Linked DNA regions of Mus musculus. The protein of the gene in region 6 interacts with the protein of the main gene of each other region in a pairwise test. Links are inferred from orthologs where the notes say so. Each region holds a gene or a part of one and is shown on either strand. Other genes may lie near its edges.

Region 1 (4,393 bases), on a different chromosome or scaffold from region 6:
TGATACTCATCTCCTATTCCTTTTACAGCTAAGCAAACTGAGGCTCAGAGATTTTTTTTCCCCCTCAGGTCCTCACCAGCTTTGGGGCAGACCTGGGCCAGAACTAGGATGTGACAGATCAGGGCATTCTCGTCCCAGGTGACTGAGGAGACTCGTGGGACAGAAGGGGAGGTCCTCCTGGGCTCAGACGACTACTTGCCTGGGAGAGCAGAGAGGTTCTGTGGAGGAACAGGGGCTCCGGAGGGCAGACTCCCTCCTTAGCCGCTGACGGCGATGGGCATGCGGACCCATCTGGCCAGAGAGGCGAAGATGTCCCCCGACTCTAGCATCCCGGTTGGCCCTGCATAGCCGAGTGTTCTTCTGGCTCAGACTGGGTGGTGGTGACCCTCTGTCTTTCTGGGCTCCTCGCTTCCTTCTCACTTTCACCTGTGTCTCCATCAGCCACTTGGTGCCACTCTGACAGGACTCCTGGATCCTCTGTGATGGGTTCATGTGAGAAGGTTGGCACAGATAGGACCAAGGTGGGCTACCAGGCTCTAGCCATTCTTCCAGCCCAGGGCTGGCCCCACAAACACAGTCTGCTGTTACTAAGCAGCAGCAACAGTAAGCCAAGAGCAACAGCATGACTCCCCATGAGATGGTACTCTCCTCCAAGACCTTCCTGAGATCCAGTGTGGTAACTCAGCAGGTAGCAGCAAGACCACTCTACATCTGAGCCCCCAGGCAGAGACTAACTCAGAGAGTGAGGGAGGCTCAGTTTTCTGGATGCCAGCTCTGGATCCTACCTTAGTCCTATTCTTTCTCTTCCCTCCTCCATCTCAGTCTAACATACTTCAATGACAGGTCTGCTCATAACACTTAATTGCTCTGAGCCCTTCCATGGCTCCCAATAATCTACAGGGCTGAGTCCCAACCCTTGGATCTTCAACATGTGGCTGGGTCAAACAGCCTTGCTAGATTGTCTTTGCCTTGGCAAACCAGAACCCAGAAGTTGGAGCAAGGCCCGAGATAAGTTTTCATGAGTTGGGTGACCTTAGACAAACTGTCACATTTCATTGTTCTGAGCTATAGCGATGTTGAAAGCAATCTTAGGGCTCTTCCAAGTCAGAGCTAGACTTTGGCAAGGAGACCTCTCTGTGGAGTCGTCAGAGGCCTCTGCTCTCTCCCTACACCATCAGAATGCCAGCAAGATGCCAGGGGCCATTCCCCCTTCTCTTCTTAGAGGTCTGCTCATTCTCATAGCTTCTGTCCTGTCCAGGGGACACCTGCCCACATCTCCAGCTCCAGGTTTAAAGACCTAGGTGGGGTCAACATGATATCGTAACAGGTACATCTTCTTGCCACCAAACCAGGCAACTCGTGTGATCTCCAGAACCCACACGGTGGAGGGAGACCTTATTCCTTCTCTGACCTCCAGACAAGTACCACTGCATAAGCGCTCCTCCCATAGATAAATATTAAAACATTAAAAGAAGATATCTGCTCGAAGGCTCTTGGACACACCACACACAAACACCACCCCTCAAATCTGCCTTCTGAACCGCTCAGGAAGTTGCACCCTTTCTGCAAGCCCCGCTCCTCTGCCTTTTTCTACCAAATAGTTGACAGCTAAGGTGTAAGAGTGTGACTGGGAGACTTTAAATGGGGGTCAGCACACAGGATCACCTCTCTCACTATACTGACTGCTTAGCTTCACACTGGGGACTCTTCTCTTCAGCATCCACGCTGGACTCACTCACAGCATCCCACTGGCCCTGTGCCTACATACACCTCCCCTTTCCTGAGTGATCTTGGAAGAGTCACCTATTCTAGGAAGTCTTTATCCACTAAGCTTGAGACTGGTATCTCTTTATAGATAGCCATTTCCTGCAATTTTCTATCACAGGACATGGCAGGTCACCTTGCATGGGGAACACCAATTTCTTCCATGACTTTATTCACCTACTGATTTGTTGGGAAACTATTATGTGCCAGAATGACCGGGGTTCTGGGAAAATGGCAAGAACCTAATCAAACCCCAAGACCCCATGGAGTCTATATTCCTGGGGTCTCCCTGAGGATAGGGACAGTCAACACCAAGGACGCTTCTGTAAACAGACGGCTGGTGGTGTCATTGTTACCTGGGACATGGCACCCAAGGCGCTTTTGGCTGAGCGAGCTGCAGCCTGAAGACCTTGCTGCTCTGGCTCTGGACTTTCCAGGCGTTTCCAGGAGGGGCCGTTACCGAGGTTCAGGCTGACCGCTCTCAGAGGCAGCCTCCTTTGGAATTGTCTGCACAGGGAGCCCAAGGGACCGGTCTCCGGATGACCCCCAGCAGACCGGGTCACCTCCTTCTTCTCTAGCTGTTCCTCCTTTAGGAGTGATCGTCTGCGCACAGAGGTCCTCATGCCCTGCCACTGAGACGCCATGTGCTTGGTCCAGTTTCCGCTGCCCGCTAGATCCTGGGGAGGTCAAAAGGTCATCAAAGTACTCCCTGACCCCATTCCAAGGCTCCAGGGACCTTGGGAACTGGGAAAGAGATGAAGTGGAACCTCGCGGGGTAGGCCTGTTGGGCAATTGTGGATGCCAGAAAGATGACCAATGGCATCATGGTCAGCAGCTGCCTCCGTTGCAAGGCGGCAATTTGTCCGTCTTTCCATCCTAGCCTATTCCCCATAGGCTAAGTGGAGTGGCACACAGGTCACGGAGCCTCGGCGCTTACGCAGGGCACCAGCAGTATGCTGTTTTCACAAATTTTCCTCTCCGGAGCAGATTTAGCAATCCAGCCAAGGCCTCGGATCCGATGGGGCGTTTGCAACTCCTAGACATTCCCTTTGTCTTGTGGGTCCTATCCAGAGCTCCTGACCCGTTCCCCATTCAGAGCTCCCCGTGAGACCGTCCCCCACCCCCCTCCTTAAGCCCCTCGGTAACCCCGCATGCTCACCTCCCTGCTCGATACCCGGACCCGAAGATCAACACCCTCTCCTAGCCCACCGCAGCCGATTTGAAACTCCGCGCGGCCCCGCCCCGCCCCGGCGCTTGCAGCCCATTGGCCCTATCAGCCATCCACCACCGCCGCCCCGGATTTCGATTGGTCTTTTTCTCTCGTGACTGTAAATCCTGCTTTGGGATTGGCCTGGCCACGCCCATACATCGTTCGTAGACCCCCCACCTGGCTCGCCGCAGAGGGGTCCAGGTCGCCACCGGATCACTGTTACCGACCAGCCCGCCTCCCTACATCCCGGCTGCTTGGTCCCAGGCGACCGCGCCTAGTCCATCGTTCTCCCAAGCTCTCTTCTTCAAGCATGCAGGTCAGGGTGCAGGATGCTGCGGGGGTTCAGGTCACCGCCACCCAGGGCACGCGCCCCTTTCAGTCCTTCACCCCGCCTAACTTCTCTCCCACGATAAGTAGTTTTGTCAAAGCGATAGGCTGGGACTGCCGAGCTTTGCGATCCCTGGGAAGTTTTGTTTCAAATTCCCCGCGTAATTCTCTTCCTTCCTGCGAGATGGCCCTGCCCCTGTCTGTTCCTCAAACAAACACCCTGCTGGCGGCGCCCAAGAAAGCACATCTCAGAGGAGGGGACAGACTGTAGATCACCCTCTCCACAGTTAGGTCAGTTCCTCTGCCGGGTCTTGCTCTACGCATCTTTCAATCTTTCTTTCCTGTAGTCTGCCAGCAAGCTAAAAAAACAAAACAAGAAACAAAGACGACGACGACAAACAACAGCAACCCAGGCTGGGTCACTTTCTCCCATGCTTTCATTTTTATGGTTTTGACTTTTTTTAAAAAAAATATTTTTATTTTTAATTATATGTCTCTGTGCATGTAAATGCCTGTGGGGTGGCGTGGTGGCGACACAGAAGAGGAAGTCAGACCCTCTGGAGCTGGAGTTAGAGGTGGTTGGTTCTAACTGGCCACACTCAGCCTCCCCAAGATTGAAATCAAGGGGCCTGGCGTGCCACCACAATGGGGCCTTCTTATCGGTCCTCAAAAAAGAATTTCTCTTCTCCCTCCTCTCTCCTTTCCTCAGCCTGGAGTGAGACTCCTAGAGACTCTTCAGGCCTCTTCCTGGTGTCAGGATTGTCTGACCCTCTCCTGACCTCAGTGTTTACCTCCCAACCCCCTATAATAATAATGGTTGATTTGTGTGTAGCACTTGCAAACACTCCCTTTCTATCAGCAAGCCCAGTTTATCCCCAGTGCTCTGCAGCTCTGTGAGGTAGCTGGGGTGTGGAGAGACTGGCCGTACACTTCACTCACTAACTGTAGCAGGGTGAAGGACCCAAAGGCCATGCATGCAGGGACGTTGTCTGTGTGACCAGGGTTGACCCCCTCACTGTTGCTCCTCAGACCCCACCCTTTTCCAGCTGGGGTCTCTCCCTTGACTCCTGAAGCCAGCACTCTTCTGGGTCC
Region 2 (4,444 bases), on a different chromosome or scaffold from region 6:
CTCTGACCACCTTTCCAGAGAGCTACTACCAAAGCACAGGACGAACCTCCTTGAAAGGACCCAGTCTATTTAGCCCTGGAGTCTTGTCTCCGGGCCTCTGCCCACAAGGCTTTTGAAGTAGTGTGGTCACAGGCACTGAGAGCCGTGCAGTGATGGGCCATGAGACGGTGCTGCTCAGGAACTGGGTACCCGGTCTGTGACACAGTGAACAAGGCATTGGGTTCCAGTGTCCCTTTGGCAGCTCCAGTCAGATGAGAGCTCCTCCTGGGTAATGTGAGATCAGTGGCCTGCGTCATCTGTGATGTCCCCTCTCTCCAACTACAGGCTCGGCCACGGCCTACAGGGCTTCCTCCCAGAGCTGCCAAGGCGTGGGGAATTGGTGGTGCTGCACAAAGCCTGAGGTCCTCCAAGCCACGCAGCGCAGCATTTTTGCCCTGCCCAGGTTAACCCGCCGGTTTAAGACTTCGTGGTAAAGATTTTGCTGATGGCTCTTTTCCCTGGGGAACACCCTCACTAGTGATCACATATGAGGGAGGAGGTCACAGAAACTGAAAGGCTCTAGTCCAAGTGACACAGAGTGGGGTGTGTGTGTGTGTGTGTGTGTGTGTGTGTGTGTGTGTGTAAATCCTGGCAGAGCTGATCCTGGCCATGCATTCAAAGTGTGGCTTACTGTCATGCAAAGGACAGCCTCAGCATCTTGCATGGGTTAAAGCGACGCTTTCGCCTTGGCATGGATGGAGCTCCTGGAGGCAATCACTTAGACTGTGGCCCCAGGGTTACCATGAAGCCAGCTTTCATGTCACTGAAGAGCGCCCACAGAAGTGGCACCTGGGCTCACTCTGAAAGAAGGAGGCCATTAAGTCATCCTTGGGTGACTACAGATAGGTGACTCGCTTTCTGGATAGCTGGCACAAGATAGCATAGGGATAGAGTGGAGCCACATTGTACTGTCTCCTTCTCAGGACCCACCCCTGCCTGTGCAGGAGGGAAACTTGAGGCCACAACAGTCTCCTGTCTTCAAAGCTACTAAGAAAACGGCACACATCTTTTCCCCAAGACCCTACTACAAGGTTCTAAGCTTATTTATGGCCGATAGCCTCAGTCCCTCCCCCACCTGCTAGGGAGCTGCAGCAGCTAGCCACTCTGAGGTTTCACCAGCCCCAGACCCTGGGCCTGTTCTTGCCCTTTTTAACCTTGGTTCACTTATGGAGGCCAAGCCAGCTTCCTAACCTGTTTTGGTGGAAAGGCAAGATAAGCTGGGCTGGATGGATTCTGGAAGCTGATAGCCCACACCCAGTTTTCCACACTGGGCTGAAGGAAGTGCTCAGCAGGGAGGGCACAGGTGCTAAGTAACCATCTCTCTCTATCCCGGTATGATCTCCCCACCCTCTGGAAACAAAGGCCGTCTAACCATGGCTGACCTCCATGGTGGCTACTCTTGTCTAACTCTGGGAGAACTTGCCATCAGTACAGACATCGCAGCAGCAGTGGCCAAACCAGAACAGGGCCTGGCCACGACCAGGGAGGAAAGGCATGGGGGTCAGAGAAACAAAACCTCCCACTCAAAGACCCAGTGACCTGTACTGGGCTGGTCCTCAAGGATTAGCAAAAGGTGGGGGGCGGGGGGACACAGTTATCCCCACACAGGCCTGGGAATAGAAAGAAGGAACAGAGCAATCCTAAGCCTTCCCAGGCTTCTCTTACTGAGTCAGCTCAGGGTGGGGGAGTCCCACACTATCCACAGGGAGGCTGACCAATGCAACATGCACTTCCTCCACAGGGCACCTGAAAGGCATGGCCACCCTAGGAAGAAGAGTTCCTGGAGAACATGTTGCAGGCTGACTCCGTCTCCCTCCCTCCCTCCTTCCCTCTCTCCAATCTAACCCCTCCCCAGTTTGAGCTAGTCACTGTGGTATCAGGCATGCCTGGTTAGGATGGAGCCCTTGAGGGTTCTGTCCAAGTCCCAGTGCCTTCCTCTCTTCCTCTTCCTCTCCCTCTCCTCCCTCTCCTCCAGGAGACCTGATACACACACACACACACACACACACTGGATAGAATCAGCCAGCAACAAAGTACAATCTGACACCAGGAAGGAAGGTGGGCAAAGAGCCATGGGAACACCCGGGAGTGTTGTGACAGCAGCTTCTGCTTAGCAGCCCCTGGGGATGGGCAGGAGTACCCCAGAGCCTACACACATACTAAGAAACCCAAACACTCACTGACCCCTAGGAAATACCCAGACCGGAGAAGCAGAGAAGGTTAACATAATATCCCTTAGGCAAAGAGCAAACTAGTTTCCACTTCACCCCTGTGTTCCTGGAAGCCCAGGCACCCTCATCTCCAGACTCAGGAGCTTTGGAGGGGATGTATGTTGGGGAAAAGTAGTCAGGCTTCCCCGTGAAGTTCCGAAGGTTTTTGCTGTCTGCTGTCACAATCTAACCACTAATGGACACTGACTCCTACAGCGGGGCACGCAGAAGACACTGTTAGAGAAGGAGGCTTTCTAGACGTCAGAAAAAAACACGTGCTTGCTTGTGGAGGTGAGGGAGTGGGGGTTGTCACCCATCAGAACCAACTTCTTGGTTCTGAGACCCAAGGGGTTCTCTAGCTTCAGGGGAACCATCTAGACCGTGACTGCTCCAGTGTTACTCCCATCGGGCTGGAACACCGGCTCTGGTCTCTCCTTGGGACCTCAGTATCCCCACCTGGCATTCAGGGGAGCGGGTCCCAGGAAGGAAAGGCCGGGAAGGCCGCACTGCACAGCGCGGGGCAGGAGGCTGAAGACCCATATCCCTGCTCAGCCCCCACCTTGCGGATGCTGCCGTCGTCCTGCGGCCGAGAGCTTTCCTCGCCAGTGCCCTGGCCATCTGGCCTCTCCTCAAGGATCATCGCTGCTCGCTCGGACGCTGACTCCGAGAGGCTGCGAGCAGCAGGCCCCTCGCGCTCCAGGGAGGATCAGCCGCGCTGCTCCGACTGTCCCCCTCCTGGAGGGTCCGACTGACCGGTGCGGCAGAGCGCGGGCCCCGCCTGCAAAACTTGATGTTGTCCAATCAGAGGTGAGGGCTACTCCGATGGATAGAAACTACTACCAACCAGAGTGAGAGAAAGGCGGGCTCCAGGTAAGGGATCTGGTAACTCTTAGCAACCAGGGCCGCTCGCCGATCAGGGTACGCATGCGCAACGCTAGGTGTTAGGCGTGCGGAGAAAGTTAGGAAAAGACAAGCAGAACTGGGGGCGGCGACCAAGAGCCGCTGCAGCCTCTGCAGGGACTTCAAGGCTTTATCTCGTCACCCCGGCAACGGGACCCTCCAGGATTGCTCCAAAAATGTTTACAATGGGGTTTTTTAAACGGTTTGTTAGAGACAAGTGCTTGTGCTGATTCTAAAACAATGCCTGCTTTCTTCCCGGCACTAAGAGGCAAAGCGCCGCTGCGGTCCCCTTGCTTCCAGAACCGCCCCCAGAAACCTCGCCTCCGGGACCTGGTTATGCATTTTGTTTCCAGAGCCTACATTCTCCTTGACCTCCTTGTGCTTCCAGAACCGGATCGCCTTCCAGAACCCGAATTGGTTTTAAGAATTGGACTTTTTCCAGAACTCGAGCTCCTTGCAGGGCTTACTCCGAAGCACTTCTCAAATTCATGTGGGCTGGCTCACACTAGATGAGCTGAGAACACAGCCTAGAAATGAGTGGCTAGCCCTTTGTCAAGCTGCTCCAAAGGTCAGCCTCCTCCACGCTGCCCGCCACCCTGGTCACTGCTTGCCCTGACTGAGTCAGCGACTCAGTCTCTACGCCCCATCCCCCTCACACACACCTGGCTCTGTCATCCCCAGATCTAAATTTGCTCGGCTAAGCTCTTGGATGTCCCTGGACAGTGGGCCCCCGCCAGAAATGCTTCTCTCATCTGCCCCGCTAGCCTCTCCAAACTTCCTGGCATTTTTGATCCCAGGGCAGCATTGTCCCCTCCCCTCCCCTCCCCTCCCCTCCCCTCCCCTCCCCTCCCCTCCCCTCCCCTCCCCTCCCCTCCCCTCCCCTCCCCTCCCCTCCCCTCCTTTCTTTCCTTTTCTTTCCTCTAGTATCTTCCTGTGGAGTGTCACCTAATTTCACTTCTTCCTCCACTGACATCCTCATGAGCAGCCTCCTCCATCTCCGGGCTCTTATGCTGCCTAGGTGTGGTCATCACCTTAGAACTAAACAGAGACCACATGTGCTGTCACCTAGCACAGCTGTCACCCTCCTGCATAGGCACCCCTGAATTCAGACTTCTGTGTCTTCAGAATCCTGTGTGCTTAGACTGACATCCACCCAGCAAAGCATGCCTGACTAAAGCAACTGTTTCTCTTAAAGATTTATTTTAATGTGTGTGTGTGTGTGTGTTTCTGCAGATGAGCACTGTGCCTGCAGAGTCCAGAAAAGGGTACTTGAACCCCAGGAACAAGAGACTACA
Region 3 (4,376 bases), about 84 Mb from region 6:
ATAAATCTGTGTGCACACTGATAAATATGCTTGTGCACATTTCTCTAGTGATGCAAGAGATGAAAATTGGAGCACTTTATATGGATGTCACTATTGTTAAAAGTAACAATCTGTTTCAGGTGTCCCTCAAACAATTAAGAATGGCCAACAAACCATTCAATCTTACCTAATGTATTCACCTACATTTAAAAAAAAAACTCACCTCATATGTTAAAATTTTCTTCCAAGGTAAAGGTTTTCTTCCACTCTCAGATTCTAAGAATGGAAACACAGCTCCTTTGTCTTTAATTTGTTTTGCATCTATTTGCGACCTTCTAGTGATCCTCGTTCCCGATGGTTTTCCTCTTGGTCTTCCTCTTGGTCTTAATTTTGGCTCATATTTTCTCTTTTTCCTCTTTTTCCGTTTCTTTTTTTTAAATCTTTCAAAAATAGCCTTTAAAGTCAGAGGCCTTGGTTCTATAGAAGAGTCACTTGATGAATCTGTTTCAACACTTGCAGGTAAAGTAACACGTTTCACAGTAGGGTGTCTTTGCTTTTGTATAGGTGAAGGAGCACACTGAGTTTTAAATAAGCTGCCATCAGAGGAGTCATCACTAAAACAAAAATGAAACTGCATCAGTTATCATTAGCTATAATCCTCCCCGAGTTTCAAGGCCATGCTCCCAATCATGCATTCCTTCAGTTCACAGCTCCAACAGCCTTTACTGCCCTTAGAACACCAGACAAAAGCATGACAAACCTAAAAACCATGTTAAAATTTCAAAGTGCATTTCTTCAAAGATCAACCCCCTAAAATCATACCCAGCATTTTAGAATAGATTCAGTACCAGTTAACCACTAGTACTTACTATTATATCTAAAACAAGACAGTTGGTTAAAATGTTCAGTTTTAACTTTCAAAAGCACCACTTAATCACTAAAGCTTCCACTATCTACCTACTAAACAAAAATGGGCCAATAAAACCAGAACTAGCCCCCCAAATGTAGTTTTCTTGGAAAAAATAAACTATGTTCCATTCCTACATGTTCAGGTTGGTAGAATTATACAGTTTTAATCAAACTGTCAAGCTAATATAAATGCTAATTGAGGTTCTCTCTATCTATTTTAAGTACAAGCATTACAAATAACTTGCTGGAGTGCAGGGTGTGGTAACATGCCTTTAATCCCAACTCTTGAGAGGTAGATGGGCAGGATTACCTGGGTGAGGGCAGCCATGGCTCTATCTACTGAGATGTCTCAAAAATAAATTGAACATTTGGACTGAATCTCTAGTTTACCCACAAAAGCTACCTTACCTTTGGTCTCCAGTATCTCCAGCTCTATCCGATGCCACACAGACAGAATTCACTTCTGATTGAGCCATCACTTTTCGCGGCCTTTCCCAATTTTCTGCAATCACAGATTTCAATGATGTACCAGCAGTCTAAGTTCAGCATACTCCTTCCCACTGTGTGAATTTCTGTAAAATCCCTATGGATAGTACATTTTATATCTACTTTAAAGCCTCTGAGTGGGCTTGTTTCCAGTATCCACATCGGGTTGCTCACAATCTCCTGTTAACTCCAGCTCCCTGTTAGTGATCTTTTGTCTTCCAGAGTACCCTCACACATATGGCATAGTTTTCTTTAAATATGTGAGTGAAAACAAGAAGCCACATTCCAATGCAGTTTGTTTTCTCACTAAATCTACCCCCAAAACCCGACATGGCTTTAACCACCACCTAGCCTCACAGTAGCATTTCTAATTCCAATCTGGGCTGCGAACTCGACACTGAAACAGAGTTCGGGTAGTTGGGATATGGCGATAGTGGCTCAAAAATCACTACTGATCAAATGGTCACAGGCCTGTAATCCTAACAACGTGTAAAAGAACCTTTAGATTATGGCTGAGACGATAGCCTAGCAGTTAAGTATACTGTCAATGGCCGGGCGTGGTGGCGCACGCCTTTAATCCCAGCACTCGGGAGGCAGAGGCAGGATTTCTGAGTTCGAGGCCAGCCTGGTCTAAAAAGTGAGTTCCTGGACAGCCAGGGCTATAAAGAGAAACCCTGTCTCGAAACCTCCCCCCCCAAAAAAGAAATGAATAGAATACTGTCAATGGACTAAGATGAGACTCCCAGAACTCACATGCCAGCCTAAAAATAGCTGTAAGCAGTCCTAAGAGATTCGATGTCCTCTTCTGGGCTCTGTGAGCACTGCGTGCACGTGGTGTAGAAATATTAGGCAGGCAAAACGGCCATATGTACTAAAGGAGAAAAGACTACAGTTTTCCTAGGCTACACAAAATCCTAGAACTAAAAATAATCACAACTTTCGAGGATAAGAAAAACAGGGTGACTACGACCTTAGATTGCAAAATGCCCGCTACATGAATTGCTTTTTTAAATTAACCCACCAAAACTGAAATTTAAGGTTGACCCGGTCGCCCCAACGATATGCCTGTGAGTAAATCAAAGATAATTCCTAGGAATCACTCCCACCTGTACGCTACTTTACAGTTCCGAGACTACAAGCTTTGGAGGCCACGTGGTGAGCTGCGTCGACTATGCGCCGTGGGCCCGCTGCAAGACCCTTTCGGAACGTAACCTAAGAGATGTGCGCAGGCAGCACGCGACCCCTTACACGGCACTAAAAACGCCCTCCAGGCCCAGAACACCTCGGCCTCTCCCAACAGCGACCCGGAGCCTCGTGCGGCCTGCGGATGGCGGGATTCCGGCCCGCTGCTCTGGCCCTACAAGAGCGCCGTTTCCGCGCGGACCGCAGCCCAAAGAACCCCGCCCTGCGGCCCCGTCGCCCGCAGCAGACCTGAGCGGCCACAGTGAACAACCGCTTACCTCTTCCGCCGCGTCGAAAAGAGCGCTCCCGGCGCCCAGCAGCCGGACTAGGACAAGGACGAAATCTCGCGTGAGTACACGTTGGTGGGCGTGGCTGTGCGTGTGGTGGGCGGGCCTCCGGGAGGGGCGGTACCCCGGCTCTCCCTTGGCCTAGAGCTATCAGAAAAGACTGGCAGGAGACTAAACCTGTGTTCGAACCTGAGTGGAAAGAAGGCCTTCCTGCAAGTGGGAGGACACTGCGGGCCAGGTGAGCGTCGATTTGTTGTGGTGACTGAGCCCGCAGTGTGCCAAGCTCTCTGTCAGACTAAGGGTGGCATGTGTTATGGATTTCTGTACTGTCCCTGTGTCCTCACTTGCCTCCTACTTTTTTTTTTTTTTTTTTTTGGTTTTCGAGACAGGGCTTCTCTGTGTAGCCCTGGCTGTCCTGGAAGGCACTTTGTAGACCCGGCTGGCCTCGAACTCAGAAATCCACCTGCCTCTGCCTCCCGAGTGCTGGGATTAAAGGCGTGCGCCACCACGCCCGGCACCTTCTACTTTTTGACCCCTGCACACACTGTCCAACAGTCTGTGGAATCCTGCAGCATTGACTCTGGCTTTGCACCCATGCAGGTCCACTAGGACTAAGTTGTAAGGGAACATTACAAACACCTTATTGAGTGCGTGACAAGATCTGTGGTGAGAGGGCAGATATTACTATCCCTTGAGTTCTCATAGACAAACACATTTCAAATGTAAAGTTGTTGGCCTAGAGATATAACTGGATTATAGAGAGCTTGCCTAGTGTACATGGCACCACGGAGAAAAAAAAATAAAAACAAAAAAAGCAAACAAAGACCTGTGTGTGTGGTTAGATCAGTATGAATATAGGGTCCTATGTGACTGAATGAACTATTTGCAAAGCTGTAAAGCCAGCCTTGTGCTTGAACCCTACTAGTCTAGTATATCGTAAAAGTGTGGTATATCATAAGTACCTAATAATTAGCAATATATTGTGTGCAATATATTTGGAAGAGAGAAGTCCCCTCTAGGTGGAAGATGGGCACTTCTCCTGGTGCTGCAGGATTATTCTGAAGTCTTCCTGGTGTCAGCCAAAGGGGCCATTTCTTCACTGCTGATTCAGCTTAGGGTGGGGTGCATTCTGGATTTACAGACCTGCCTTTGAGTTTGTTGTTGTTGCTGCTGTTGTTTGACACATGTCTCTTTATGTAGCCCTGACGATCCTGGAACTTGATTTGTAAACCAGGCTGGCTTTAACCTCACAGAGAACCTCTTGCCTTTACAGCCCTCTGCCTCCAGTGCTGGAGCTAAACATGTGCACCACCATGCCTGGCTTGAACCTGCTTTTGAATCCTGTTTCTGCCATGTAACAACTGAATGATCTTGAATAAATTTTGTTTCCTTTTCTGTACAGTAAGAAGTACAATATGTCTGTCATGGATTTGAGAATTTTGAGGGACTTTAAAGGGCCTGACAATTTCTGAATACAGGATGGCCTTAATCATGACACTCAGCATGATTGTCACCGTTAGCCTGTTGCTTTCC
Region 4 (4,493 bases), on a different chromosome or scaffold from region 6:
AACTCTTCCTTCAGCTGCTTCAGCTCCTGTTGGTAGTAGAGCGCGGTAGCCTTTTCCCCGTCAGCAGCCTCGGAGTTGGCCATTATCTCAGGGTCGCAGAGCTTCTCCACATCCAGGGTCACCTGGCTTTTCCTAGCTGCAACCTGTAGTAGCTTCTTGAGCTTCTCCATCTTGTCCTTCAAGACATTGATATCCAGACTGGATTCGTCGCCATGGATGTCAAGGGAGGACCGGCTAGAGGCTGCGAGGGCCAGTGTCTTGTTCTCCAGGTCCAGCTGCAGAAGTCGCTCCTTCAGCTTCTGGATGGCCAGCTGGTCTTTCTGCTTGGCTTTCTCGTAGGTGCCCAGCAGTTCAGATACCTCAGAGATCTGGCTCTCCAGGGCTGCTACTCTCTGCTCTTCTACCTGAGACTGCTGGCGGAGCTGGTCCTCTGCAAGGGCTGTCTGCAAAGCAAAGAACAGGTGACAAGGCATCCAGGAAAGTCACAAAACCCCTAGAGTCAACTGGGTGTGGGGGAGGAGACAGAGAAGTGAACAGGGCTTGGAATAACCCAGAACAAGTGGGAACTGGGGATTTTTAACTGAAGTGCCCTTTCTACCATAGTTTTCCATTCTTCATTAAGCTTGAATACAAAGTATGTTTCTGTTAGCCAAATCATTTAAAGAAACCGTGTAACATTCTTTCCCTTTCCCAACATGCCTGTAAATTCAAACCCAACCTAGATCCCTCTCTCTACTGAAAGGGAACACTATAAAACAGTTGAGGCAAACCTCACCTGAGCGTATACACAAGGCATTTCTTCTGGGGAAAATCCCCTTTGCTTCCTCCAGTCACCTTACCTAGAAGCACACACTTCTCAGGATACACACAAGCTTTCCCTACACAGCTGTCACTGTATCACCTCAAGCAGCACAGCTGGTAAGATGCCAACACCCAAGGCCTAGATAGAGCTATCTGGCTTGAACCCAGAAATACTCAGGAACTCTTCATCCTGTTAGAAGGACACCACACAAAGCCACACTTCACGGGACTCACTGATGCAATTTTTTCACTTGGCATCAAATATCACTATGCATGTTGGGAATGTGGAACCAGACCAAAGTCCCAGTACTCACACTAACAACTCACGCTATCTCACCAGGCATCCCTTGACTAAAACAAGACCCTGCCTTAAGTGGGGAGAGGGGTGCCCTTAATCCTAGCACTTGGTATGGAAAAGCAGGCAAATCCCTGTGAGTTCAAGGGCAGACTGGGTTACATGGTAAGACCCTGCCTCATGAAAACACACACAGAGAAACAAACACACACACACACACACACACACACACACATAGGGATGCATTACAGTTATCTAATGACCAGAAGAGAAAAATAATAATTTCCTATGTAAGCTAAAATGACTATTTGAAGGATATGAGAATAATTACCTTCCTCATTTCTTGCTGCAATTGGGCCTGGAAATGGCTTTTAAGACGGGCAGCCTCTTGCTGAAGCTCCTGCAGCCGGGGGTCTGGTCGGTTCTTCTCATCTCGAATGGTTTGCAGCTCACCTTTCAGCTCCTCTACCTCTCGGGTCAGCTGCTTGGTCTGCAGTTCAAACCCTTCGACCTGATCAGCGGCATATGCCCGCCCTGCCAAGGCTTCTCTGGTCTCTTCTAAGCGAAGTTCCAGGTCCTGGCGCTGGGTCCTCTCCTCCTGCAAGAGCTTCTGAAGCTCGCGCAGCATCAAGGCATGGTCACTCTGCTCCTGGGCACGATCGTGCTGCTGTGTAATGAGGCGGGCTTTGGTTTCTGCTATCTGCTCTTGCAGCACCTTCAAGTCTCCCTCCAGGCGACCCCGCTCTTCCTCTGCCTTTTTATTGGCATCCTCTAAGTCCTGCTTCATCTTCTTCTTATCCGCCAGGTAAGACGCCTCCATACGGGACTTTTCCTGAGTGACTGTCGCCAAGGAGCTAGTCAAAGTGGCCAACTGAGTCTTCAGCTGATGCACTCTTTTGTCCATCTCACTACCGGCAGATGGCCCATCCCCACTGCTACTACTAACGCCACTCTCTGACCCACTGGCCTCTTCAGACTTTGGGGGAAGTGGTCCACGGGCCGCTCTGTCATCTTCAACCCCAAATTCACCCTTGACACTTGTAAGACTGGCTGCGGTATCCAAGCTAGTGGCAGTTCCGGTGCTGTCCTCACTGTGAGTGGAGCACCGGTCATCCACAGAATCAGGAAACGTGAGACCTGGAGGCTGCACACCTGAGAGGCCTACATCCGCCTCGTGGGATACCGACAGTACCTTGATGCTGGCCTCCAGGGCTTCTTTCTCCTTCAGCAGGCTTTTATAGGCACGCACCACATCCTTGAGTCTTGCCTGGTACTGGAGAAGCTGCTTTTTCTGTGTCTCGATGGTCTCCAAGAGATCCTTCTTACTTGGGCCGCCCCCGAAATTCATCCCAAACTTCTCCATGGGGGTTCTGGCGTGGACCGCTCCACGTCAACGTTCTTGCAGCCCTGGGCAGAGCCACAGGGACAGCTAAAAGTGAAGCAGAGAGAACCGTCTGGCTGCAGGCAATACACCCGGTCCGTCCAGCGGTCCGGGCGGGATGAGGGGCCGCGGTGGCCAGGCAAAAGCACTGCAGGAGCCAGGCCGAAGGTGGGAGCCAGTTCCAACCTGGAGGCGGAGTGACGCTGACCTAGCAGGAGCAGTCAGCCTAGGCTCTCCAGTACAGGCCCTGAGCCTGTCCCGCCCTAGCCGCTCCTGTGGCCACCGCAACCTAGACCCGCCTCCCTCCGCCCACGATAAGCCCAGGGTTTACACTAAGCCGGGTTCCATCACGATTTCCCAACAACTGGAACAGCACCGCTTCCGGGTCTCCTGGAAGTGACGGCAGCAAAACGCCACAGACCCCGCCCCGCCGTGGGCGTGAGATGGGTGGGGCTTCCGCACCGTGTCTGCTGGTGGCCTGGAGAGGGAGTAACCCGTAGGTAAGTCTAGAGCAAGCACCTGAGCAGTGGTTTGGAGATGCCTAACTTTGCCCTCAAGCTACCACCAGTGAGCGACAGGGGGCGACGTCGCACTGCATTTGCCCCAAAAACATAGATGAAAGACGCATCAAACTATTTGGGGCAATGTCCAACATTTGGGGCAACAGTTAGGACTCATACTAGGAAAACGAGGCCGGTACCTGGTTAACGTAAAGCATAATAGCTCCCTCCCTTAGTTCTGATTAGTAAAAGGGGCATTATATAGCCATAAGGCCCATCTTGCATACCAGCATATGCTGGGGTCAGGGCTGTGTCACAAGAGTTACACTTACGGGAACATAGAGTAAAATGTACAGAGGGGTAACATGTCCAATGTCACTCAGCTAGGAAGTTTAGGAGTCCTATCTCAGTCTGCCTCTCAACATACTACATGCTATGCCAGATAGCACTACTGAAGAAGCATGGCCTTGTCCCAAGAAACTCCTAACAGCAAGGACACAGAGATTCAAACAGGTAGCTCCTGCCTTCACACTAGTGTGTCGGGGCATTGCAGAAGTGGTATAAAGGAGATGAGGCACCTGCCAGGACAGAGACTCTTAGGGGAAATGATTTGAAGTTTGAGAGATGAGTAGACTGCCAAGCTCAATGCAGATGTGGGAAACCAGCATGGAGGAAAGTGGAAAGGTGTATAGGGACGTCAGGCATCAGTGAGCCTAACTTGCCCAGGAAGCTTATGGTGTGGGAGAAGGGTGGCTACTGATGAGGCTGGAACAAAGGACCCAACTTAAAGGCATTTAGATTTTACCTTAGGTGACAAGACATGAAAAGATTTTCATCTCAAGAGCACACCATCAAGTCTCCTTTTTCTTTTCCATCAAGACTCTTGTGGGGACTGTAAGACGACTCAGCAGTAAAGGCACTTTCCACCCAGGCCCAATGATCTGACCTGAGTTCTATCACCAGGGCCCACACGGTGGAAAGAGAGAACATATTCCCACAGGTTGTCCTCTGAGAGCTACACCTCCACACATGAACACGAAATAAAAGTGGGGAGGGAGCCAGGCGTGGTGGCGCACGCCTTTAATCCCAGCACTTGGGAGGCAGAGGCAGGTGGATTTCTGAGTTCGAGGCGAGCCGGGTCTACAAAGTGAATTCCAGGACAACCAGGGCTATACAGAGAAACCCTGTCTCGAAAAAAAAAAAAAAAAAAGGGTGGGGAGGAGCTAGAAACAAAATAAGATTCCTGTGACATTATGAAGATACCAAGCCTGTGAGAGGGGTGCGGGGAGGGAAAGAGATGAAATAAGAGTGACAACGGGTTTTAAGAAAATATTTCTGTAATAAAAATCTACTCAAGATGCCAAGGCAGCCGTCACATCTCCGTGAGTTCGAGACTAGGCTGGTCTACATAGCAAGTTCCAGACCACCCAAGGCTACATAGTGGACATAGTGTTTCAAAACAAAAGACAATGAGCTACTTTGAGAATCTTTTAAATGTACTTTTCGACTCTATCAA
Region 5 (3,698 bases), on a different chromosome or scaffold from region 6:
AGGAATGAAGTCGTCTTGGTTGCTCTGCCCCTGCTTCAGTCAGATGGCAGCATTTGTGAGGTCCCAAGTAAGAGCAGCAGTCTACCATCCATGCCTCAGTCAACAACAGAACTCTAAGAAATGTGATCTAAATCTGTAAATTCTGGGGTGACCTTAGTTATGCAGTGATAGAGAACCAAACCCTTCTTCCTCTTTGTGTTTCTGGAGATCACTACTATAAAAATATTTTACTTGAGTCAGTGCTTTCTTAATTGTTATTTCAATTATGGACCTACCTCAATAATGAAAGACAAAAGCCAGAATTTACATGGTTGTGATAGGAACAGCAGTTTACAGTAAAGCTGAAACCTCATGTTATGATGCGTAACATGGAACATACCTGTGCTTTTCTCTGTGGTCTTTCTTCAAGACCATCCAGGAATGGAGATACATCATCATCATCGTAGATTGTAAATTCCAAGTCTTTACCAACGATTCCAATGGAAACATTCTGATGGGGGTGGGGGGGAAATTAACATATGGATAATAAAACGCTGGGCACAAAGTAGAAAAAATTATATAGCAATTAAGTTCAAAGTTTTAAAACCTATAGGTAGGAGTGAAAAGAGGCAGGAAACCATGGCTCTTTCAATTACAGATCCAATATTCACTGTCGGTTATTATGAGAAATCTCAAAGGTCCATGTCATTAGTAATGAAGTCTCCCCTCAACCAGTGGTTTTCATCTTCCTAATACTTTAATACAGCTCCTCACGCTGTTGTGACCCCCAACCAGGAAATTATTTTCATTGCTTCTTCATAACTGCACTTCTGAGACTGTTAGGAATCTAATGTAAATATCTGATAAAGGTACGAATACCTACTGTAGACAAAACAAAATAAAAACTGCAGACATTTTATTGCTGTATAACCTCCCACCCCAATTTAAACATGACATTTCAAAACCAGAGAATTTGGTGACTAGAAAGGAAATAACGAACAAAGCAATTAAAATGACTTAAGGACATGCTGTTTTATCCCTTGTGACTGAGGATTAAACTATACCTACAATTGGGACCTTGAGTTACCTTTGTGGTCAGGTCCTGCTCTGCAGGGAGTGTTTCTCTTAAGGCACGCAGACCATGTTTAACCAGTTCATCCAAATTGCCTGTATGCAATAAATTACAAAATAATTTCTTAATTTCACCATCATAATAAGGCTTCTTTTAATTATCAAGTCTGTAGTCTTTAATTGTGGCTTGAATGACATATTATATAGAATAAAACAGCCAAAAGTGTAATGTTAGCATCTAATCTAATCTAATATCAACCAACATCAATGACTACTTGATGCTTTTTAGTAATAAATATGATCTGTCTTTCACTAGATTAAATAAAAGTCCTGGTCACAAATGACATTTCAATTTTATAGAATGTGTTTTGTAGAATTCAGGTTTTTATATTCATAAATAATGAGCCTTCAATTCTTTGTGGTCAGTATTACCTGATATCAAAGTCATTACAGACAATTACAGACCAATCTTCCCTATGAATAAAGACACCCAAATAAGTGGTGCATATCTATTACCTTAGCACTTGGGAGGGTATGGGGCTGGGGTGGAGATTATGAGTAGTTTGAGCTACATAGAGAATTCTAGGTCAATCCCAATTACACAATGGGACCTCATCTTAACCAAAATAAAATTACTACCACCATTTCTACCACCACCACCAGAACCCAACAACAAAGGAGAAAAGATTATACATAATAACCAACTGTATTTTTTCTCAGGAATGTAGACATGGTTAACATTTGAAAAGCCAACTGATGTAACACAATACATTAATAGACTAAGAGGAAAAAAGGTACGACCATTTGAGTCAGCTATAACAAGCACGTGATAAACTCCCAACTCCTACCTAATAAAAACACTTACTCATCTCACAGCTCACATCATACCTAAGAGAATGACTGAACGCTTTCCCTCAGTCTCAGGAATAAAATAAGGACAAATGCCCTCATCACTTCCACTCATCACTATACTGACAGTTCTAGCCAAGGCATTCAATAAAAACAAAATGCACCTATCTGGGAAGCAAGAAAGAAACAGCACACATTAAGACTAGGAAGTAAGTAAAACCACCTCTACTGCAAATGATGTGACCTAGTGATATAATCTCAGATCTAAGGAATCCACTAGATTGGAATTAATGAAGTGTTCTTAGGGTTTCAAGACATGCAATCAATATGTAAATATCAAGTTCTTATAAGCAATCTGCAAATGATATTGAGAAAACGCTTAAAACAATATGAAAAGAATAAAGTATGAATAAGTTAAACAAAAGAAACACAAGACTTATAAAGTAAAAATTACAAAATACCACTGAAAGACTTAAGTAAATGTAACAAAAGTCTATGTCCAGATGTTGCCTAACTTACAATGGGAGTACCCACAGTAAATGGCCAATGTTAAGTAAAATGTGCATACAACACACCTTGCCTACCAAATGTTGCAGCGTAGCGTATGTGACTGTGTGGCTGGCTTAGGCTCATGACTCACTGCTGCTGCCCTGCATTAGATAGAGGATCTTAACGAAGTGGCTAACCCAGGAGGAGATAAAAATCTAAATTCAGGACTTCATTTCCTTTGCAGTGCATGTTGTTTTTGCATATTATAAAGTCAAGACATCCTGAGCTAAGCCATCATAAGGCAGTGTCATCTATATTACAACACTGAACTATTCCCTAAGTACCCGCCAGGTTGGAACGACTCTCTAGCAAAGCTCCTTAGACAGAAGCATCACTCAGCTGCCCTGACACTCAGGAGAAGGGTAGGAGCACAGGGAAGCCTGCAGGTTCCTGTTTCCTTCTGTGACCAAGCTAGGACCCTTATGCCACACACGTTAAGTCTTGGCTAGGATATGACAGCAAGCTGAGTTCTCAAAAATCTCCCAATATGTGGGTGATCTTGGGAACTCCTATTTCCTTCAAAAAATACTATACTGCCACAGGAAAATTTATGAAACCAAGACAAAAAAAATCTTGAGAAAAAAACCAAAACAAAACAAAAGCCCTGCTATTAACCCTTCTTCTAATGCAAAGCAAAGCGCTTGAAAACCACTTCATCATCTTACACCCTTCACCCTCTTTTCCCACAGTTATACTGCTTATGGGCCACTTAATGCAGAAATTCTATGTGTCCTAAAGTAGAAACAGACTTACAAACAATTAAGTTGTAAACAGAATTTACAAATAACAACTAGTATAATGGGTTTCAACCCTGACTGGGGCCTACTTCAGACTAAATGTCAAGACTTTTCAAGGTTGGAGACATATTTATTTTTGTTGTTGTTTTTGTTTTTTGTTTTTCGAGACAGGGTTTCTCTGTATAGCCCTGGCTGTCCTGGAACTCACTTTGTAGACGAGGCTGGCCTTGAACTCAGAAATCTGCCTGCCTCTGCCTCCCAAGTGCTGGGATTAAAGGTGTGCGCTACCACGCCCGGCAAACATATTTATATTTTGATAAAGTTCTCTTAGTAGCTAGAATTAAATAAAACAATAGACACTTTATGACCTTAAGATTTTTAAAAAACTAAAGACTATTAGTTTTCCTCACTTAGGGTAGATTTGCTAACTATATAGACTAGAAGAGGCAAAACAAAATAAAGTAAGCCAAACTACACTTACACTCCATAAATTCAGACATATGTCTCTCCAGG
Region 6 (2,980 bases):
TTGTATATGGAGAAATTAAAATCTTTATAACCAATTCTTGAGTTGGATTATAACATATAATTTATTTCTAGGACACTACCAAAACTAATAATTACTAGTCATATTTTTTTGTTTAGAAGATAAATATTAAGGATTTTTAAAAGACTATGTACCACCAATGTAAAAACCTGATGTTTTAAAAAGTACATTATGAGAATGTGTTTGTGTGTGTATGTGTGTGTATGTATTGTGTTTATATATATGCATATATGTATATGCATATATGTATATGCATATACATATATGCATATATATAAACATATAAGACATATATGTATATATAAACACACACACATGTATCATCTATATATTCTGCATATTTTCCAGTAAGAACCCTTATATAATCTGGCAGTTGAGTTTTTCATACCGTCTCTCAGGCCTCTCCGCTCCTTCCATTGTTTTACTGACCACTGGTACCTTCTGTTCAGTTGAATATTGGGTAAAGAAGCCTATTTCTAGCAGATGTTCTAAAGGTGGTGCTTTTTTGTAAACTGTGTATGTTTTAAACAGTATTATCAAGAAATTGGAAGAGCATGAGGAATTTTTCCCAGCGTTTCAAGCTTTTGCTAATGATCTTCTTGAAATCTTAGGTGAGATGTCTGTTGATGGTGGCTGACTCTTTCTTGGAAGGTGTTGGTGGATTTGAAGGGGTATTCCTTAGAAATTAGGTTCATGTCTTACTCTAGGTGTTTGGAAAGTAATAACTACTTTGCAGGAAGACTTGGTTAGGATTAATTTACAGAATAGAAAAACAGCCTATAAAGAAATAAAAACTATCTTTTTCTTTTCTTTTTAAATATTTTTATATGTGTATAGATATTTGCCTGCATGTATGTATGGAGGCCAGAAGAGATGGTCTGATACTCTGAAACTAGAGTTATAGTCAGTTAGCTACTGTTGGTGCTGGGAACTGGCCCCAGGTCCTCTTATAAGAGCAGCAGGTGCTTCTAACTGCTGAGTCATCTCTTCAGCCCTCTGGGACTATCTTGAGAAATGGCATTATTTTGTGAGACTCTGGGTTCTATCATTGTTTATTAAAACATGACCAAGCAAAATAAGCTAGAAAAATGTAGAGCCTGCTGCTTGGAACCTTCCAAGGGATGGTGTCTGGCTAAGGGAAAGTACTTGCTTCCTCTGAGAACAAGAGCTTTAGAGAGTGAATTCTGGCTCAGGGTCACTGAAGTCTGATACCTTAGGAGAAAAATCAATCTCCGAAAGAACCGGAACTGCTGTGTCCGGAAGTTCATACAGGATAGGCTGTGTCCCTGAGGCTTGTTCTAAGGTGTCCCACACCTCTTACTGGACAAATCTCCCCAAAGAAGGCTGAGAACACTCTGAGACTAGAAGAATCAGGAAGGAGCACTGTCTGTGAGACCTGCAAAAGAGATGCATGTCTTCAATGTCTAATGGGACTCATGTTGGCTTGCCCATGTAGCTGTACAGAGATTTAAAGAGAGACAAAGGCATCATAAACACAGCCAACTGGATGTGTTACTAAGCCTGTGTCTGGTAAGATTAATGCCAGTCAATGGGGGCGCTGCAGATTCCCTGTGAATCCCCTGTGGGAGGCAGTGGTAGTCTGCAGCCAACCTGGGAGAGAACCCTGTGCACAACTGAGCACGCAGCTACTGCTGCCCTTGTGTGTGAAGGCGGCTTCTGCGGAGAGCGTCTCACATCTCTGAGCTTTGCACTGGAAACATCGCTCCCTTTCTAATTCCTCCTTTTCCTGTTACAGAGATTGATGACCTGGATGCCATCGTACCTGCAGTAAAGAAATTAAAGATCCTTTCATACTGAAAACAAACCAGGTCAACTTCACTGTGTAAACTGCATTCGTAACATTCTAAGCATTTGTAAAGGTCTGATCCTGAGACAAGGCTGTACACAATCAGCTCTCAGAATTCATCCTCTCACCCCGGGTCTGCTCAACCCATATAATTTTTATTTTTGATTATTTAATAAAATGTAGCTGTTAAGTTATTAAAATAGTGAGTTAACTTTAGATTCCTTAATCGTTTCCTAAGCAATGCTTGAGTGCTGTAAAATGTAAGGAAGAGATTGTGGGTAACAAAAGAGACATTGCAAAGTACAGAAAGTCGCAGTTAACTTCAAGGTTTAATGACCCTTTGGTCAGAGAAAAAAGAATGCCAGTTGCTTTCTAAGCCCAACGGATAGGAAGCCTCTGTTCTCCAGGCAAGGATTAGTGGGCATATTCTATAAGAAAACTTACAGCTATTGCCCTGTCAAAGCAAGAAGGAAAGGTTTTGTCTTTGTATTAAGATAGGAAGTTAGTCATGGAGTGAAATAGATGATTAGGTAGAAGTGTTTCTGTGTCTTTATTTGCAATACTATGTAATGTACTTTTATAAAGAAATAAGATCACAAATAAAGTTTTCGTAAAGAGTTTCCAAACGTAAGTGTCCCTAGTGACTTATTTGTATGGCTAACAATAAAGAGTCGTCTTCTCCCCCTAGGCTGACTCCCTTGGGCGTTATCCTCCCTGCACGTCACTGAAGAGGCCTGTTCTTACTGCTGTCTACTGGATCTCTAGTCTCAGTATTCAGTCTGATGGCGGGGGCAGTGTCCTGCATCACACCCATGACTACAAGCTACTTTAGGCTACCCCATATGCTTCTTTTTAAAATGCCACTCTTACTGGTTGATATATAGATTATTTTAAGTATTTCCAGGAGGCCAGCATAGTGGTATGGCGAGTGCCAGTGAACAGGGATTCAGACTCCTAGGAGTTGTGACTTGGACAACATAAAATAATATCTTAGGTTCCTTCTTACTTTATAGTCCTTTGCTTTGTCACCCTGTAGTTAAATTTCTAAATAGTAACCCAGTGGTTTTCGACCTTCCTAACGCTGTGACCCTTTAGTTCACTTCCTCATGCTGTGGTGAACCCAACCATGAAATTGTTTTCATTGCTATTTCACAA
Region 7 (3,698 bases), on a different chromosome or scaffold from region 6:
AAATTGGCGAATGGAAATGGAACCCGGGGCCTGAGCCATGCTAGACAAGCACTGTCCCACAGAGCTACATCTCTGTCCATTTTAAGTTTTTCCCTCCCTCCCTCCCTCCCTCCCTCCCTCCCTCCCTCCCTCCCTTCCCTCCTGAGACAGGGTTTCACTACACAGACTTGGCTGTCCTGGAACTCACTCTGTAGACCATGCTGGCAGCTGTCTGCCTCTGCCTCCCAAGTGCTGCAATTAAAGGCATGTTCTACCACCGCCCGGCTACAGGTCCTATCATCATTGTCATTATTTCTGAGTATTACTGTTGTTTTTATTGTCATTACTAATATGTGTATGCTAAAGAGGACATTTGGAAATTGATTCTTGCCTTCTACCTTTTTGTTTGTTTGCAATTTATTAAAATTTATTATAAAGAATCTGCACGCAAAACAAAACAAAACCCATACCAGGACTAACCAGACATGTCAAATGAATTTCTGAACAGTTAGAATAACTAACCAACCTGAAGCTGTGGGACTTCACAATGAGTTTTACACTTTCACTATCAGATATATACACAAATCTTCAGACAAACAAACAAAAAACCCCACACTTAAAACTGGAAAATTAGCTTTGTACTTCTTTCATGGCTTAAGTGTCCATTACTTGCATTCCGTTCTTCACATAGTATTTACCCTTTCTTGCTCTCCTTTCTACACGTCATTTTGTGCCCATATGTACATCTGACTACATGTGCAGTGTGTGTATAAGATCTGCAGATGGAGGGAACATGTTCTGTTCTGTTTTTCTTTTGCCTCCCACCTTGCTGAGACAGGATCTCTCTCGTTTCGGGTGCTGTGTAGCAGTGCTCCTGGCTCTGCTGGCTTCCAACAATAAGTCTATCTCTGCCTATTTCAGGGTAGTGGGAACTTTACAGATACACTTATAAGGGTTCCATTATCAGGCTTGCTTGTAAGGCTAGCACTTTTACCCACAGAGCTGGCTTCTTAGCCCCTTAAGCAGTATCCACCTATCTATCTATCCATTCATCCAATCTATCTATTTATCTATTGATCGATCTATCTATCTATATCTATCTACCAATCGAATGATCGCCCTGGTCTTACTATGTATGTAGCACTGGCTGTCCTGGACCTCAAGTCTGGCAACATGAGCTTGATCCCTACAACCCACATAAAAGGTGAAGGAAAGAATCAATTCAAAAAGCGTGTCCTCCACACGCATGCTGTAACAAGGGCACCCATCCCACATACGTAATAAACACATGTAAACCTTACAAATACAGAAAACTGGCCGGGCAGTGGTGGCGCACACCTTTAATCCCAGCACTCGGGAGGCAGAGGCAGGCGAATTTCTGAGTTCAAGGCCAGCCTGGTCTACAAAGTGAGTTCCAGGACAGCCAGGACTGCACAGAGAGACCCTGTCTCGGAAAGAGAGAAAGAGAAAGAGAGAGAGAGAGAGAGAGAGAGAGAGAGAGAAAGAAAGTAATTAAGTTAGTTAGTTCTATGAATATGAGGCCAGCTTGGACTACACAGTGACTATCAGGCCAGTCAGAGCCACATAGCAAGAACCTATCAAAAAAAAAAAAAGATAAAAAGAAACATTTTAACTTTTGAGACCCACATACTTAGAGTCACATCTTGCCTAATGCCCAGCAAACAGTGGATCTCTAAACATAAAACTAGGAGAGCAGGCAAGTAAGGGCCCCAGAAGTCTGCGGGGCTGAAGCTCCCCCTAGCGATAGGTTTGTGGTGTTGCAGTTGCTATGTGCAAGCACAATTCATGTATTTGTGGTCACACTGATACAAACAAACCTACTATGCTGACTATATAAAAATGCAGCACATACCATTCTACACAGCAATAATGACTGACAATATAAGCAGCCATGTTAATTGGTTTAGGGCATTTGTTCTATTTTTCATTGTTTTTCTATTTACATGGAGACAGGCTCACTAGACAGTCCAGACTGGCCTTGAACTCCAACTCCTTCTACATAGACCTAAGTGTGAAAATTAATGGCACTTGCCACCACGCCCTGCTCAAAATTACTTCAAATCCTTCTATTTAACAATAAAGTTCAGAGTAAAGTAGCATCCAAGTTACACAAGCAACTGTCACATACATTGAGTTTACCAAATCTCTAAAAGCACCCTGTTCTCTTGTTCCTGACTTATCTCAGTTTGCTTTGCTCACCGGGGTGTAGGAGCAATAGGCTGTCATATACAAACACACCCCCAACAGCCCAAGTGTATAGAAGGCTATATCATCTCTGTTTGTCATGTACATGCGCTCTCTCTTTTTTTAAAAAAGATTTATTTATTTATTATATGTAAATACACTGTAGCTGTCTTCAGACACACCAGAAGAGGGCGTCAGATCTCATTATGAGTGGTTGTAAGCCACCATGTGGTTGCTGGGATTTGAACTCTGGACCGTCAGTGCTCTTACCCATTGAGCCATCTCCCCAGCCCAGTACATGCTCTCAAAATATGTCCTTACTATTAAGCAACAGGAGGCCATTTCTTAGAGAAAACTGTTGGGTGGGACCACACACAGAGTAGAGAGTGCCGTCACCGCTGTGGAAGCCTGCTCTCAGAGACTGCATGCCTTACAAACTCAAGGCTATGGCTGTTTAACAAGTCTACTGGCACCAATTTCCCAACTGCTCCTACATTAGCATCTTTAACAAAACATTTTTAAAAGAATTTACCTTTAAAAAGTACACAATGCTACTGGCATACTTTATAAGTATAAAGAAAAGTTTTATATGCACTAGGAAACAAAAAAATTCATATTCAAAGGCATCTTTAGGTCTGGTCTCATGCAAACTCTCCTGATTTACAGCCTCTTAAGAACTCTGTTCTTGCTGGGCGTGGTGGCGCACGCCTTTAATCCCAGCACTTGGGAGGCAGAGGCAGGTGGATTTCTGAGTTCGAGGCCAGCCTGGTCTACAAAGTGAGTGCCAGGACAGCCAGGGCTACACAGAGAAACCCTGTCTTGAAAAACCAAAAACAAACAAAAAAAACAACTCTGTTTTCCTTGTCTCCTGAACAGCAGTGGCCTCGAAGCCATTATCAGGCATTATCTTATACTCTATCAGTACCTATAAGCACCAACCACCCGCCATAGGACGAGGCATTCCAGAGAGAACTTGTTTTCCAGTTTTGTTCCTGCTTAGGAAAGGAGGGAATTTTTCACTGGGAAAAACATGTTGAAAAAAGTGAGTGGTTCATCACTGTTACATTTCCTGCAACCAGATCTGTTAATATTTACAGACAATAGGCCAAGAACAGCTCTTGTTCACGATTGCTCTGAGTTCACAACCCCACAACAGGATCCCCAGGCCACAACGGTCATGAAGCTGGGGCACACTCACCTAGAGAGTTGCAGCCCGGCGTAGGACACTTCATGTTGAAATTGTAGCTTTCGTGAAATCGACGTCGCTTGGGACGGTGAGAGAGATCACTGCCTGAGTCCTTCAGGGACATGTCCTTGGCAATGCTCTCATCATGAGACACGTTGGGGCTGGAGATGTCTATGTCAGACTCAGAAGAAGGTGCATTTCCGGTTGGAGTTCGAGGTGGTGACTCATCATGATCAGCTGTATTTTTAGTTTCTAAAGAAAAAGCAATTGGTAGAACTGGTGAGTGGGTCCCTCTATTTAAAGACTGGCTAGGCAAGAAGAGTTGGTG

Evidence for each region.
Region 1: the proteins of Cep70 (region 6) and Pimreg interact in binary tests that used the Homo sapiens proteins (3 or more experiments, as listed by UniProt). The two-hybrid records come from large-scale screens. The link is inferred for Mus musculus from reciprocal best matches to the Homo sapiens genes CEP70 and PIMREG.
Region 2: the proteins of Cep70 (region 6) and Rhpn1 interact in binary tests that used the Homo sapiens proteins (3 or more experiments, as listed by UniProt). The two-hybrid records come from large-scale screens. The link is inferred for Mus musculus from reciprocal best matches to the Homo sapiens genes CEP70 and RHPN1.
Region 3: the proteins of Cep70 (region 6) and Taf1d interact in binary tests that used the Homo sapiens proteins (3 or more experiments, as listed by UniProt). The link is inferred for Mus musculus from reciprocal best matches to the Homo sapiens genes CEP70 and TAF1D.
Region 4: the proteins of Cep70 (region 6) and Gcc1 interact in binary tests that used the Homo sapiens proteins (3 or more experiments, as listed by UniProt). The two-hybrid records come from large-scale screens. The link is inferred for Mus musculus from reciprocal best matches to the Homo sapiens genes CEP70 and GCC1.
Region 5: the proteins of Cep70 (region 6) and Psma1 interact in binary tests that used the Homo sapiens proteins (3 or more experiments, as listed by UniProt). The two-hybrid records come from large-scale screens. The link is inferred for Mus musculus from reciprocal best matches to the Homo sapiens genes CEP70 and PSMA1.
Region 7: the proteins of Cep70 (region 6) and Kat7 interact in a two-hybrid assay, tested with the Homo sapiens proteins (2 studies listed by BioGRID and IntAct). The two-hybrid records come from large-scale screens. The link is inferred for Mus musculus from reciprocal best matches to the Homo sapiens genes CEP70 and KAT7.

The regions. Positions count from the first base shown.
Region 1 is NC_000077.6:72,041,065-72,045,457, reverse strand, and holds the start of Pimreg (protein PIMREG), read right to left. Parts: upstream 2,957-4,393; 5' UTR 2,924-2,956; intron 2,442-2,923; 5' UTR 2,409-2,441; coding exon 2,121-2,408; intron 478-2,120; coding exon 200-477; intron 1-199. UniProt on the Homo sapiens protein: During mitosis, may play a role in the control of metaphase-to-anaphase transition.
Region 2 is NC_000081.6:75,702,839-75,707,282, reverse strand, and holds the start of Rhpn1 (rhophilin-1), read right to left. Parts: upstream 2,996-4,444; 5' UTR 2,890-2,995; coding exon 2,809-2,889; intron 1-2,808. UniProt on the Homo sapiens protein: Has no enzymatic activity. May serve as a target for Rho, and interact with some cytoskeletal component upon Rho binding or relay a Rho signal to other molecules.
Region 3 is NC_000075.6:15,304,742-15,309,117, reverse strand, and holds the start of Taf1d (TATA box-binding protein-associated factor RNA polymerase I subunit D), read right to left. Parts: upstream 2,905-4,376; 5' UTR 2,835-2,904; exon of another isoform or gene 2,670-2,834; intron 2,249-2,669; exon of another isoform or gene 2,128-2,248; intron 1,391-2,127; 5' UTR 1,365-1,390; coding exon 1,297-1,364; intron 594-1,296; coding exon 203-593; intron 1-202. UniProt on the Homo sapiens protein: Component of the transcription factor SL1/TIF-IB complex, which is involved in the assembly of the PIC (preinitiation complex) during RNA polymerase I-dependent transcription.
Region 4 is NC_000072.6:28,418,858-28,423,350, forward strand, and holds the start of Gcc1 (GRIP and coiled-coil domain-containing protein 1), read right to left. Parts: upstream 2,868-4,493; 5' UTR 2,460-2,867; coding exon 1,428-2,459; intron 444-1,427; coding exon 1-443. UniProt on the Homo sapiens protein: Probably involved in maintaining Golgi structure.
Region 5 is NC_000073.6:114,266,055-114,269,752, forward strand, and holds part of Psma1 (proteasome subunit alpha type-1), read right to left. Parts: coding exon 3,667-3,698; intron 1,147-3,666; coding exon 1,067-1,146; intron 491-1,066; coding exon 380-490; intron 1-379. UniProt on the Homo sapiens protein: Component of the 20S core proteasome complex involved in the proteolytic degradation of most intracellular proteins. This complex plays numerous essential roles within the cell by associating with different regulatory particles.
Region 6 is NC_000075.6:99,297,954-99,300,933, forward strand, and holds the end of Cep70 (centrosomal protein of 70 kDa), read left to right. Parts: exon of another isoform or gene 1-549; coding exon 550-629; intron 630-1,053; exon of another isoform or gene 1,054-1,774; coding exon 1,775-1,836; 3' UTR 1,837-2,451; downstream 2,452-2,980.
Region 7 is NC_000077.6:95,296,597-95,300,294, forward strand, and holds part of Kat7 (histone acetyltransferase KAT7), read right to left. Parts: intron 3,623-3,698; coding exon 3,383-3,622; intron 1-3,382. UniProt on the Homo sapiens protein: Catalytic subunit of histone acetyltransferase HBO1 complexes, which specifically mediate acetylation of histone H3 at 'Lys-14' (H3K14ac), thereby regulating various processes, such as gene transcription, protein ubiquitination, immune regulation, stem cell pluripotent and self-renewal maintenance and embryonic development.